3 linked regions of the Macaca mulatta genome follow. The protein of the gene in region 2 purifies or fractionates together with the protein of the main gene of each other region. This does not show direct contact. Links are inferred from orthologs where the notes say so. Each region holds a gene or a part of one and is shown on either strand. Other genes may lie near its edges.

What was found.
Region 1: the proteins of MAVS (region 2) and PLAAT4 purify together in Homo sapiens (affinity purification with western blotting; 4 studies listed by BioGRID). This does not show direct contact. The link is inferred for Macaca mulatta from reciprocal best matches to the Homo sapiens genes MAVS and PLAAT4.
Region 3: the proteins of MAVS (region 2) and NLRX1 purify together in Homo sapiens (affinity purification with western blotting; 4 studies listed by BioGRID and IntAct, with this or other methods). This does not show direct contact. The link is inferred for Macaca mulatta from reciprocal best matches to the Homo sapiens genes MAVS and NLRX1.

The regions. Positions count from the first base shown.
Region 1 is NC_133419.1:10,877,013-10,880,528, forward strand, and holds the end of PLAAT4 (phospholipase A and acyltransferase 4), read right to left. Parts: intron 2,574-3,516; coding exon 2,305-2,573; intron 1,028-2,304; coding exon 935-1,027; 3' UTR 710-934; downstream 1-709. UniProt on the Homo sapiens protein: Exhibits both phospholipase A1/2 and acyltransferase activities. Shows phospholipase A1 (PLA1) and A2 (PLA2), catalyzing the calcium-independent release of fatty acids from the sn-1 or sn-2 position of glycerophospholipids.
Region 2 is NC_133415.1:80,208,183-80,212,107, reverse strand, and holds part of MAVS (mitochondrial antiviral-signaling protein), read left to right. Parts: intron 1-1,528; coding exon 1,529-1,703; intron 1,704-3,925.
Region 3 is NC_133419.1:119,868,068-119,871,992, reverse strand, and holds part of NLRX1 (NLR family member X1), read right to left. Parts: intron 2,313-3,925; coding exon 1,717-2,312; intron 1,156-1,716; coding exon 1,069-1,155; exon of another isoform or gene 1,021-1,068; intron 231-1,020; coding exon 1-230.

The DNA of each region.
Region 1 (3,516 bases), on a different chromosome or scaffold from region 2:
GTGGTGGCTGCAGTGACCACCATGGAAGCGGCCACTGAGTAGGGTCACTGGTGGTAGAGGCTGGAGTGAGGAAGCACAGAAACATGGGGAGCTGGGCACTTCCGGAGCCACACCCAGGGCATGCTGGAAGTAGTGGAGGGAGATTTAGAGGTAGCTAATTCTCAGCATTCCACACAGGACCAGCTTGAGCCATGGCAATTTGGGCTTGGAAAGAATATTACTCCATCTAGTAGTCACAGGTTGGTGAGAACTCAGACCTTTGAGCTAAAAAAAAAAAAAACAAAAAACTTTCTAAAAAGAGGGCCAGTTGAGGAAGGGAACGGGGAAGATGCTGGTAGATGCGTAGGTGTTGTGAGTGGATTTAAGCACCACATGAGACTATACCGGGAGGTAATTAAGTTTTTTTTTTTACCTCCCTGAGAGTAAAATTAATGACATGCAATTACGTCAATGTTATGTCTGTGTAGAATGATAAAGATAATTCACTGAACATCTGTTACGTACCAGACATGGGGCTGGGTGCCGTGTATGCATTATCTTAGGTGATCCTCCTGACATCACCTGACATGGAAGAAATGAGTTTCAGAGAATCAACAGCCTTCTCCAAAGTCACCCAGCTGGAAATTGCTGGAACTATCCAGTGGGTGTTCACTCAATGTTGCTTTCCTCCTTTGTGATTCAGAAGTCTATAAAAACATGGTAGAATTCCTTTCTGAAGGGACAGATGGCTGTTTATTGATCCTTCAATCTTATTTCAATTAGATCATACTTTCACCAGCGAGAGAAGGAAACAGAGGAAAGGATCTAGAGAGAGCCTGAGACAGAGCACGAGGGTCAGGCTGCTGGAGGTGTGGGGGAGGCCTGGGACCCCCACATCTCCACTGGGACCCCCACATCTGCTTCTAATACAGGATTTTGTGGCTGCTTCAGGCTGTCACTTTTGGTATTTCATAATCGCAAAAGAGCATCCAGCAACAGCCGCTCCAATCATCGCGAACGCACCGACTTCAGCCGCGGCATTTTCCACCTGCAAAGCAAGCAGCTTTTGTTGAGCGTTCGCAGCAAGCCAGGCTGGCACTTTCTCCCTCCCAAGGGCCTGGAACTCCTCCCCGTCTCCCCTCTCTCCTGCCTCCCCTACGGCCTGGCATCTCCTCTTTTCTCTCCCAGCTGACTGGCTCAGAATCCTCTCCCAGAGAAGCCGTTGGCTGTATCCCCAGGGACTCCATTTTCTGGGCTGTGACCACTTCTTGGTGTTGGGTTTATCTGGGCTTGTCCTTAGAATGTGCCCATGAGATCCTTTTGAGAGAGCTTCCAGGTGAGGACATTTGTTCGGATTTGCGGCGAGGAAGAAGGTTTGTGCCTCACTTCCTAGGGCCAGAGCTCCAGAGGCCAGACTGGGGACTGTTTTGCAGTCTGAGTCCTCCTTGAGCTACACCGTTGCACAGGGAGGGCTGTGGCAGAAGCTGAGGGGAGACTTAGGGAGGCCATGGCCATATGCGTGCCCTGGGGTCACTGTGTACTATTCCCAACTGCAGCCTGGAAACTTCCATCTCCAGCTCTACTTCAGCCTAAACTCCAACTCCATGCCTTATCTCCACCTGGGCCTCTAATGGGCACCTCAGACATCACATGCCACGCCAAACTCTCGATTTCCCTCCCCAAAGCCTCTCCTCCTGCCATCATCCCCATCTCATCAAGGACGCGCATCCATTCAGTCCCGCAGGCCAGGGGCCCTGAGCTGCTACACGGCAGGCATCACAGGCACAGACTCTAGAAAGGACAGCCGGGGTTTCAATCCTGGTTCTGCCACTTATTAGTTGTGTGTTTTGGGGCAACAAATGTGAAAGACTATGAAGAGGCAAGGGATGGAGGCTGCAGATCTTACACACAAATGTCCTTGAGCTCTTACACAGGTCCATGGACCCTGAGCGTCCCTTGCCTAAGTGCTCTTTGGGGGGTTGTGGGACCTGTCACGGTCCTGGGTTGGCCCAGATTCTCCTGATGACCCCTAGAACTTCAGGAGTCATTTTCAGGATAGGGTTTAGAGGGGAAGGATCCTCAGAGGTCCTCCATCCACCCACTCTGCACATGGAGAGGCCTGGAGGGGAAGGGACCTGTCCAAAGACCCTCTGTGGATTAGAAGCAGATCTGGCATTGGAGCTCAGAGGTCCTGACTCTCAGTCAGTGGGTGTCCAAGAGGCTGCGTTTGCATCATTCACGGTGATCGCCTGGTTGCATAGCCCAGTGAGTCCAGCCCCAAGCAGACCTCCCCAGGGGAGATGGATTATCCAGAGAGATCCTTACCTGTTGACAGTGGGACCTGCCATATCTCAGCTTGGTGACAAAGTGTTCACAGTTCCTGCTCACAATACTGTACTTCATCTTCTGACCAACCAACTCCTTGGCAGAACTGATGATCACCCCCACGGGCAGTGGTTCGAACCTACGGTCCAAGCTGTTGTTGACCCGATAGTTACAGCCTTCCAGCACATCTTTCAGGAGCTCCTGTTTCACCACTGCAATGCCGCCCGGGACTGAGAAGGCACTGGAGGAGCTAGCCGCGGGGTACCCATCTGCAATCAGAGGCATTCTCATTGGCAGGGGAAGGTGAAGTAGGGAGAGAAGGGCTTGAAATCTCCACTAGGGAACTACTGCTGTTTATCCTTTCACAAATGTGACTGGAGGATTCACAGATTTGGCTTTTTTTTTTTTTTTTGGACGGAGTCTTGCTCTGTCGCCCAGGCTGGAGTGCAGTGGCGCAGTCTCAGCTCACTGCAAGCTCCGCCTCCCGGGTTCACGCCATTCTCCTGCCTCAGCCTCCCGAGTAGTGGGACTACAGGCGCCGGCCACCACGCCCAGCTAATAGATTTTGCTCTCTCTTTTTTAATCAAATAAGGTGTGAATGTTTGTTCAAGTCAGTGAATGTCATGATTGCCAGTGGCTGCTACCATATTCCATGCTATGCATGTGCATCACTTCTGTGGCCAATCCCCTGTTATCAGTCATTTAGGCATTGGAAAAATTTTCATCATTATAAGCAATGATGGTAAAGCATATTTATTACCTGTTCAGCTTTGTACACTCGTGTTTTGGAAAAAGATTCACTTCGTTTAGTACCCACTGTTTCAGTTACCATGCTGTGCTGTTACACATACTTCCTAATTTAATTTCCTTTTTAACTTTCAAGGAAAATACTATCATCTTAATTTAAAAACCAGTATCGGGCTGAGAGAGATATCATGAGACTTTTCCGTGCTATGAGAAGTCCTAGAATCAGGATGTGAAACTGCTTCTCTTAAGCCCCAAAGGGCAGGTTCCTTCCACCGCACTGAGCTGATGTTGAGGGAATCCTTTGTAAAGTGTCTTCTGTCCTACAATCTGGCACAGTTCTAGGCACATAGAGAGGTACACAGAAGAGCTGTCAACCAATGGAACCCCAATTGCATTATATAGTGACTCCAGGTGTTATTTTTATTAAAATGGATAGTACCTAATGCGCACAATAATTAGGTGTGT
Region 2 (3,925 bases):
CCCAGGCTGGAGTGCAGTGGCCGGATCTCAGCTCACTGTAAGCTCCGCCTCCCGGGTTTACGCCATTCTCCTGCCTCAGCCTCCCGAGTAGCTGGGACTACAGGCGCCCGCCACCTCGCCCGGCTAGTTTTTTTTTGTATTTTTTAGTAGAGACGGGGTTTCACCGTGTTAGCCAGGATGGTCTCGATCTCCTGACCTCGTGATCCGCCCGTCTCGGCCTCCCAAAGTGCTGGGATTACAGGCTTGAGCCACCGTGCCCGGCCTTTTTTTTTTTTTTTGAGATAGAGTCTCGCTCTGTCTTCTGGGCTGGAGTGCAGTGGTGCCATCTCGGGTTACCGCAACCTCTGCCTTCTGGGTTCAAGCGATTCTCCTGCTTTAGCCTCCTGAGTAGCTGGGATTACAGGCACGTGCCACCATGCCCAGCTAATTTTTGTATTTTTAGTAGAGACGGGGTTTCACCATGTTGGTCAGGCTGGTCTCGAACTCCTGACCTCGTGATCCTTGGCCTTCCAAAGTGCTGGGATTACAGGTGTGAGCTACCGCGCCTGGCTATTTTCCTTTTTCTAAAAATCTAGCTCCTGCAGGATTCTGTGGGTTTTTGTTTCTGCTATCTGGTTGCTTGTTTTTAATGTGGGAATTCAGATAGACATAAAAACTCTAGGGCTGGGCACAGTGGCTCACGCCTGTAATCCCAGCACTTTGGGAGGCCAAGGTGGGCGGATCACCTGAGGTCAGGAGTTTGAGACCAGCCTGTCTAACATGGGGAAACCACGTCCCTACTAAAAATACAAAAAAATTAGCCGGGTGTGGTGGTGGGCACCTATAATCCCAGCTACTTGGGAGACCGAGGCAGGAGAATAGCTTGAACCCAGGAGGCAGAGGTTGCAGTAAGGTGAGATCGTGCCACTGCACTCCAGCCTGGGCGACGGAGCGGGACTCAGTCTCGAAAAAAGAAAAAAAACTGCAGCCACTGTCATCTGCCCAGAATCTCCCCAGCACTCTCAGCTTCCTTGTTTCTTATTGTCGGCCCCCTCCCTTTCCTTCTTTTGCCCCTTTCATCATACTTTTGCTATTTACCTTTTCCTTCTCTCCTAATCCAAACCTTTCTTTTTGCCCTGGGGGCCATATAAATCCAAGGCTTTTGTATCAGATTAACTGGGTTTGGATTCCTGCCCCACTGTTGTAGGATCTTTGCTATAGTACTTTGCTTCTGCTAAGCCTCAGTTTCCTTATTAGTATAGTGGGGATAATAATGGCATTAAATAAGATGATACATGCAAAGCCCTTAATGGAGAGTCCAGGACATACTTAATTGTCAGTTTCCAGCAGCTGCCTTTATTGATGTGGCTGCTAATTGCTCTTCCTCACTCCATACCTGGCCCTGTCCTGGGCTCTGATTCAGTTTCATGTGGCCACCTTGCTCTTCTGGCTTTCTTGGCGCCCCACCCCCCTGCTGTGGCTTCATTCTGGGTGGGTAAGTGGCTGGGGCCGCCTGGCTTGAGCCGGACAGTGGCATTGTGTCTTCCAGGATCGACTGCGGGCCACCTGCACACTCTCAGGGAACCGGGACACCCTCTGGCATCTCTTCAGTACCCTTCAGCGGCGGCCCGGCTGGGTTGAGTCCTTCATTGCGGCGCTGAGGGACTGTGAGCTAGCTGATCTCGCGGACGAAGTGGCCTGTGTCTACCAGAGCTACCAGCCTCGTAAGTGTCCTGCCCTGGCCCTCCTCCTGGACCCCTGGCCTGCTCCCTGGCCTCTGCTCTCCCTTCCCCTCTCCCTGTACCTCCTGCCTTTCTCTGTCATCCTCTTTTTCATCACTGTGAAGCGATGGATAAACCTGGGTGTAGATCCAGGCTGAGCCACTTACCAGCTGTGTCCTTTTGGCCAAGTCCCTTAATTTCCCTGAGCCTCAGGCCTCTCCTCTGTAAAATGAAGTTCATGGCAGCATCTGCCGCGGGGGGCTGCAGTGGGTGATACCGCAGGACGATGCGTGTTGAGTACTGAGCTGGGCTAGGCACTTCCTGTATGCCCAGCACATGGGGTCTCCTCTAACTTTCATGGCTGTAGCGTTCGCCTCCCACCCTTCCTCATTTCTTCTCCCCCACCTACTCATTCATCCTCCCTCTCTCCACCTTCTCTTCCCGTCCCCTGGTTTACCTTGAGAGCCTTCAACGCCCTCTACCAACTACCCAGTTATTCCTTAAGTCCCTCTCAGTGTCCCTGCCACTCTGAGTGCTTGGAGGGGATCTGGTGAGATTGAGTTTGATCCTGAGTGAGATCAAGACATGGGAAGAGGCTGGGCGCGGGGTGTCACGCCTGTAATCCAGAACTTTGGGAGGCTGAAGCAGGCAGGTCATGAGGTCAGGAGATGGAGACCATCCTGGCTAAAACGATGAAACCCTGTCTCTACTAAAAATACAAAAAATTAGCCGGGCGTGTTGTCCCAGCTACTCGGGAGGCTGAGGCAGGAGAATTGCTTGAACCAGGGAGGCAGAGGTTGCAGTAAGCCAAGATCGCACCACTGCACTCCAGCCTGGGCGACAGCGAGACTCCATCTCAAAAAAAAAAAAAAAAAAGAAAAGACTTGGGAAGAAAAATCAAGCCAGCCCTATTTATATTTCAAACTAGAGGTAACCCCCGAGACCCTGGTCACATTTATAGCTGTGGGACATCCATGTTTATCTTTTCTTTCTCTTTCTCCTTTTTTTTTTCCCCCCTTTTAGAGACAGAGTCTTGCTCTGTCACCCAGGCTGGAGTGCAGTGGTATAATCATAGCTCACCGCAGCCTTGACCTCCTGGGCTCAAGTGATCCTTCTACCTCAGCCTCCAGAGTAGCTGGGACTACAGGCATGGGCAACTATACCTGGCTAATTTTTAAATTTTTTTTAGAGATGAGGTCTCACTATGTTGCCCAGGCTGGTCTCGAACTCCTGGGCTGAAGCGATCGGCCTCCCAGAGTGCTGGGATCATAGGTGTGAGCCACCGCGTCTGGCTCTCATGCTTACTTTTCTTTCCTTTTTCTCTTCCTCGCTTTTCCTCCCTCCCTCCCTCCCTTCCTCCCCTCCTCTCTTCCTGTTTTTCCTTCCTTCTTTTTAAATGTGACTCTTCATGTGTGGAGATTAATAGTTCTTCCCCTCGCTGGGTGCAGTGGCTCACACCTGTAATCCCAGCACTTTGGGAGGCCAAGGCAGGCAGATCACAAGGTCAGGAGTTCGAGACCAGCCTGGCCAATATGGTGAAACCCCATCTCTACTAAAAATACAAAAAAATTAGCTGGGCGTGGTGGTGCAAGCCTGTAATCCCAGCTACTTGGGAGGCTGAGGCAGGAGAATTGCTTAAACTGGGGAGGTGGAGGTTGCAGTGAACTGAGATTGTGTCATTGTACTCCAGCCTGGACAACAGTGAGACTCCGCCTCAAAAAAAAAAAAAAAAAGAGAAAAAAATAGTGACCCCCTGAATACAATACAATGGCTGTGGTAGGGCCTGATGAGGGGTGGTGGCAAAGGGGAGGGGCTGAGGCAGCAGCATCAGGGCAGGGGTCAGTGAGCAATGACAGTCATGGGGAGGAGAAAGCCACTGGGTCCCAGGATGCCTGGGGACAGAGAAGAGTGACTGCTGACATGGTGTGGGTGGCTAGAGGCCTACGAGGCCTCCTCCACACTCCCCCTCCTTCCTTGCTACCTTGTCCTCCAACTGCTGTCTCCCTCCCACTCTTGCCCCCTTGCCAAGTGATGCTTGTCACTCTTGAGGAGTGGACCCACATCAGAACAGCTTTTGGACCTATGGCTGGGGCGGGGGGTATACCCAAGAGCACCCAAGCCTCTTTCATCATGAGGAGAACCCTCAATTCCTTCTTTTTTCTTTTTTTTTTGAGACAGAGTCTTGCTCAGTTGCCCAGGCTGGAGTGCAGTGGCGTGACTTTGGC
Region 3 (3,925 bases), on a different chromosome or scaffold from region 2:
GCTCCCGGGCAGCTCTGGCCAGGGCCAGGGCCGCTGTGTCACCAGCACCATTGTAAGCCACGTTCAGCTCCTGCAGCTGCCGGTTGCGATCCAGCTGGGCAGCCAGCAGCTCCAGACCTTCGTCCCCAAGGCCGGTGTGCAGCAGGGACAGGTGTGTCACTGAGGTGTTTCCTGCCAGCCCCTCCATCAGCAGGGCAACACCTGCCGCCATCAGCGGGTTGTTGGACAGCCTACGGCCACGTGCAACCCAAGGTTATGAGGGCCCATTGAGAGGAGGGGGAGGCAAGGTTGCTGGTGGTGCTGGCAGCCTTGATGGGGCAGCGCGCTGTGCTGGGTGTCAGGACGTGGGCCAAAGAGGGCCCTGCTTGGGGCAAGAGGAGCCTGGACATAGAAATGCAGGCCCAGGAGAAAGGGTAGAGCAATAGGGGGTGTGGTGCCTGGCAGAGGAGGGAGAGTAGGGGAGCTGGCCTTTCCTTCCCTCTTCCCCCGACCCCCTTCTTATCTATTCCCTTCCTCCTCACCATTTCTGTTTCCCTTCTTCTGCCTTTTTCACCCCCTCCACAGCCTCTGCTTCTCCCTTCCCTCTGACTCCTGTATCCTTCTCCCTGTTCTTCCTTTTTCTCTCCTCATTTGCCTCCCCTTACACCAACCAGAAACTCGGAACCCAGGTGCTCGGGTTCCCCATGTATCAGTCAACACTTCAGGGGTGTCTACTGAGTGCCCAGCATTAGGGTCATCCTCAGGAAGCTGCAGGAAAAATCCTGGAAGGGGATCAGTGGCACTGTTACCAGGCAACTGGCCTAGGTATTATTCCACCCTCTCTCCCTGCCTCCCCCAGGCTGTTTTTAGCCACGTGAGAGGTTTCTTAGCACCCATTACAGGTGGCATCTTTCCCTGCTGCCCCGCTGCTTGCAGTAGACCTAGGGGAAGTGGAGGGGACCAGTCAGGGCCTAGACCCACCTCCATTTACTATCCCTTGGACGGGCCTGTGCCAAGTATGCCAGGAGGCAGGGAACTCACCCTTGACCTTAGCTGGCCACCAGGATGCCCCACTCCCAGGGCACTCACCGCAGTGTGGTAATTTGGCACTGGTCATGTAGCAGCAGGTCTCGGAGGTCCTTGCAGGCCTCAGGGCCCAGGCTGTTGAGTTGCAAGCTGGAGCAGAAGGTGGCCAGAGGGGAGGTGAGAGACCAGGGAGGGAATTCAGCAAGCAGTCTGTCCATCTACCATGACCTTTTTTCATCAGCCTGCCTCTGGGAATCCATACCTGCCTCCCCTTTTTTGAGAGACAGGGTCTCACTCTGTCACCCAGGTTGGAGCACAATGGCATGATCACAACTCACTGCAGCCTCAGACACCTGGGCTCAAGCAATCCTCCCATCTCAGCCTCCTGAGTAGCTGGGATGATAGCCACATGCCACCACACCTGACTAATTTTTAAATTCTTTTGTAGAGACAGGGTCTTGCTATGTTGCCCAGGATGGTCTCAAACTACTAGGCTCAAGTGATGCTTCTGCCTTGTCTTCCCAAAGCAGTGGGATTACAAGCAGGAGCCACCAGGGCTGGCTCCTCCCTTCTGCTGCTCCTGTCTCCTCCGCCCAAACTAGATTTCTTCATCTGGTCATTCATCAGTACCTCTGGTTTCCCTGGCACTTTCTCTTCCCACTGCTTCACCTCCAACCCTCTTCATGCCTGTGCATGAGGATAGGTCCTTACCCCAGTTTCCGGGCACGCAGTAAGACAGGCATGAGTGTGCGCAGCCCAGCAGGGTCTAGCTGGCAGGAGGCCAAATTCACCTCATCCAGGGCATGCCTTCCGCTGCCCAGCACAGATGCCACCACTGTGCACTTGACGGGTGTCATACGCACACCTGCCAAGTTGAGCTGACGAAGGGAGCTGAGCACCTCGGCGGAGAAGCGCTGGTTCTGGAACTCGTAGTGGAAGAAGAGGTGGTCAAGGAGCTCCGACGGGGGTAGCACCTGCCGGCCCAGCTTGCCCAGCTTCTTCTTGATGGCCTGGGCATTCTCCAGGGCATCCAGGTTCTTGATGGGGCAGCCAAGCTGAGCTAGCACAGCTCGGTTGTGGGCAGAGAGAAGCCCCCCCATGAATATGGGGAAGAGCTCGAAGACTTCATCCTCAGGAGGCTCATCTGGGTGGCGCCGGGGGCCCTCCACGCCTAGGATACTGGCGCCCATCTGGTCCAGAACATCATCATTGTAATAGTCCTCCTCTCGGAACATCTCCAGCACCATGGCCTGGGCCACCGCCTCCCGGCTTTTACCCACCATGCGCCCAAACACTCGTGGAACCACCTGAAAAAGAAGCAGGGGAGGGTCACTGTGGCCTTCCACATGCCTGTTCAGCCTTCAAGGCTCAGCTTAAGGTACACCCCTGTGACTGCTCCAGCCCTGTGGTCTCCCCGTGAACTTAGCATAATTTGTCTGATCATGCTACTCCCCTGCTGCGACACCTTCCACTGCCTATGTGGCAAACTCCAAACATTTAGCCTGGAATATGAAATGATTTTTAAAACTAGAGATGGGGTCTTGCTGTGTCACCTAAGCTGGTCTTGAACTCCTGGGCTCCCTAGCCTAGGCCCCCAAAGTGCTAGGATTATAGGCATAAGCCACTGCACCCGGCCCAAAACTTTTAATAATTTGGCCCTAATTTGACTTTCCCAGGGTCATATCTCAACACCTGTCTCATGTGCTGCAGACATTAGGAACTTCTTTCTCTTTCCCAAACACCCTGATACATTTTCAAACCCAGGAGGTGGTAAGAAGGAATTAGCATGTATTACACACTTAGTTTGGGACCAGGCTAGGTGTCACAAATACATCACCATCTTCAACATCATTGTTGTCTCAGCAGCTACGATTGATGCAGCTCCTACTGCTTTAAGGTCTTGTGTGATCTGGGCCCTGCCAACTACAATGCCTTCATCACAAGCCTCTTGGCCCCACTCACTATGCTCCTGCCTTTTTGGCTTTTTTCATCTTAACAGTGCCAAGGTCAGGCCGGGCGCGGTGGCTCAAGCCTGTAATCCCAGCACTTTGGGAGGCCGAGACGGGCGGATCATGAGGTCAGGAGATCAAGACCATCCTGGCTAACACGGTGAAACCCCATCTCTAATAAAAAATACAAAAAACTAGCCGGGCGTGGTGGCGGCGCCTGTAGTCCCAGCTACTCGGGAGGCTGAGGCAGGAGAATGGCGTAAACCCGGGAGGCGGAGCTTGCAGTGAGCCGAGATCGCGCCACTGCACTCCAGCCTGGGTGACAGAGTGAGACTCCGTCTCAACAAAAAAAACAAAAAAAACAAAAAAAAACAAAAAACAACAACAACAAAAAAACCAAACAAAAAAAAAACACAGTGCCAAGGTCTTTCCTCCTTCAAAGCCTCCATAGGCCCGGTGCAGTGGCTCATGCCTGTAATCCCAGCACTTAGGGAGGTCGAAGCAGGAGGATCACTTGAGCCCGGGAGTTCTAGACCAGCCTGGCCAATATAGCCAGACACTATCTCTATCGAAAAAAAATTTTTTTTTTTGAGACAGAGTTTCGCTCTGTCGCCCAGGCTGGAGTGCAGTGGCGCAATCTCTGCTCACTGCAAGCTCTGCCTCCTGGGTTCACGCCATTCTCCTAACTCAGCCTCCTGAGCAGCTGGGACTACAGGCGCCCGCCACCATGCCCAGCTAAGTTTTTGTATTTTTAGTGGAGACGGGGTTTCACCGTGTTAGCCAGGATGGTCTCGACCTCCTGACCTCGTGATCTACCCACCTCGGCCTCCCAAAGTGCTGGGATTATAGGCGTGAGCCACTGCACCCGGCAAAAAAATTTTTTAATAAAAAAAAAAATTAGCCAGGCATGGTGGCATGTGCCTGTAGTCCCTTCAGCACTGGAGGTCGGGGATGCAGTGAGCTGAGATCAC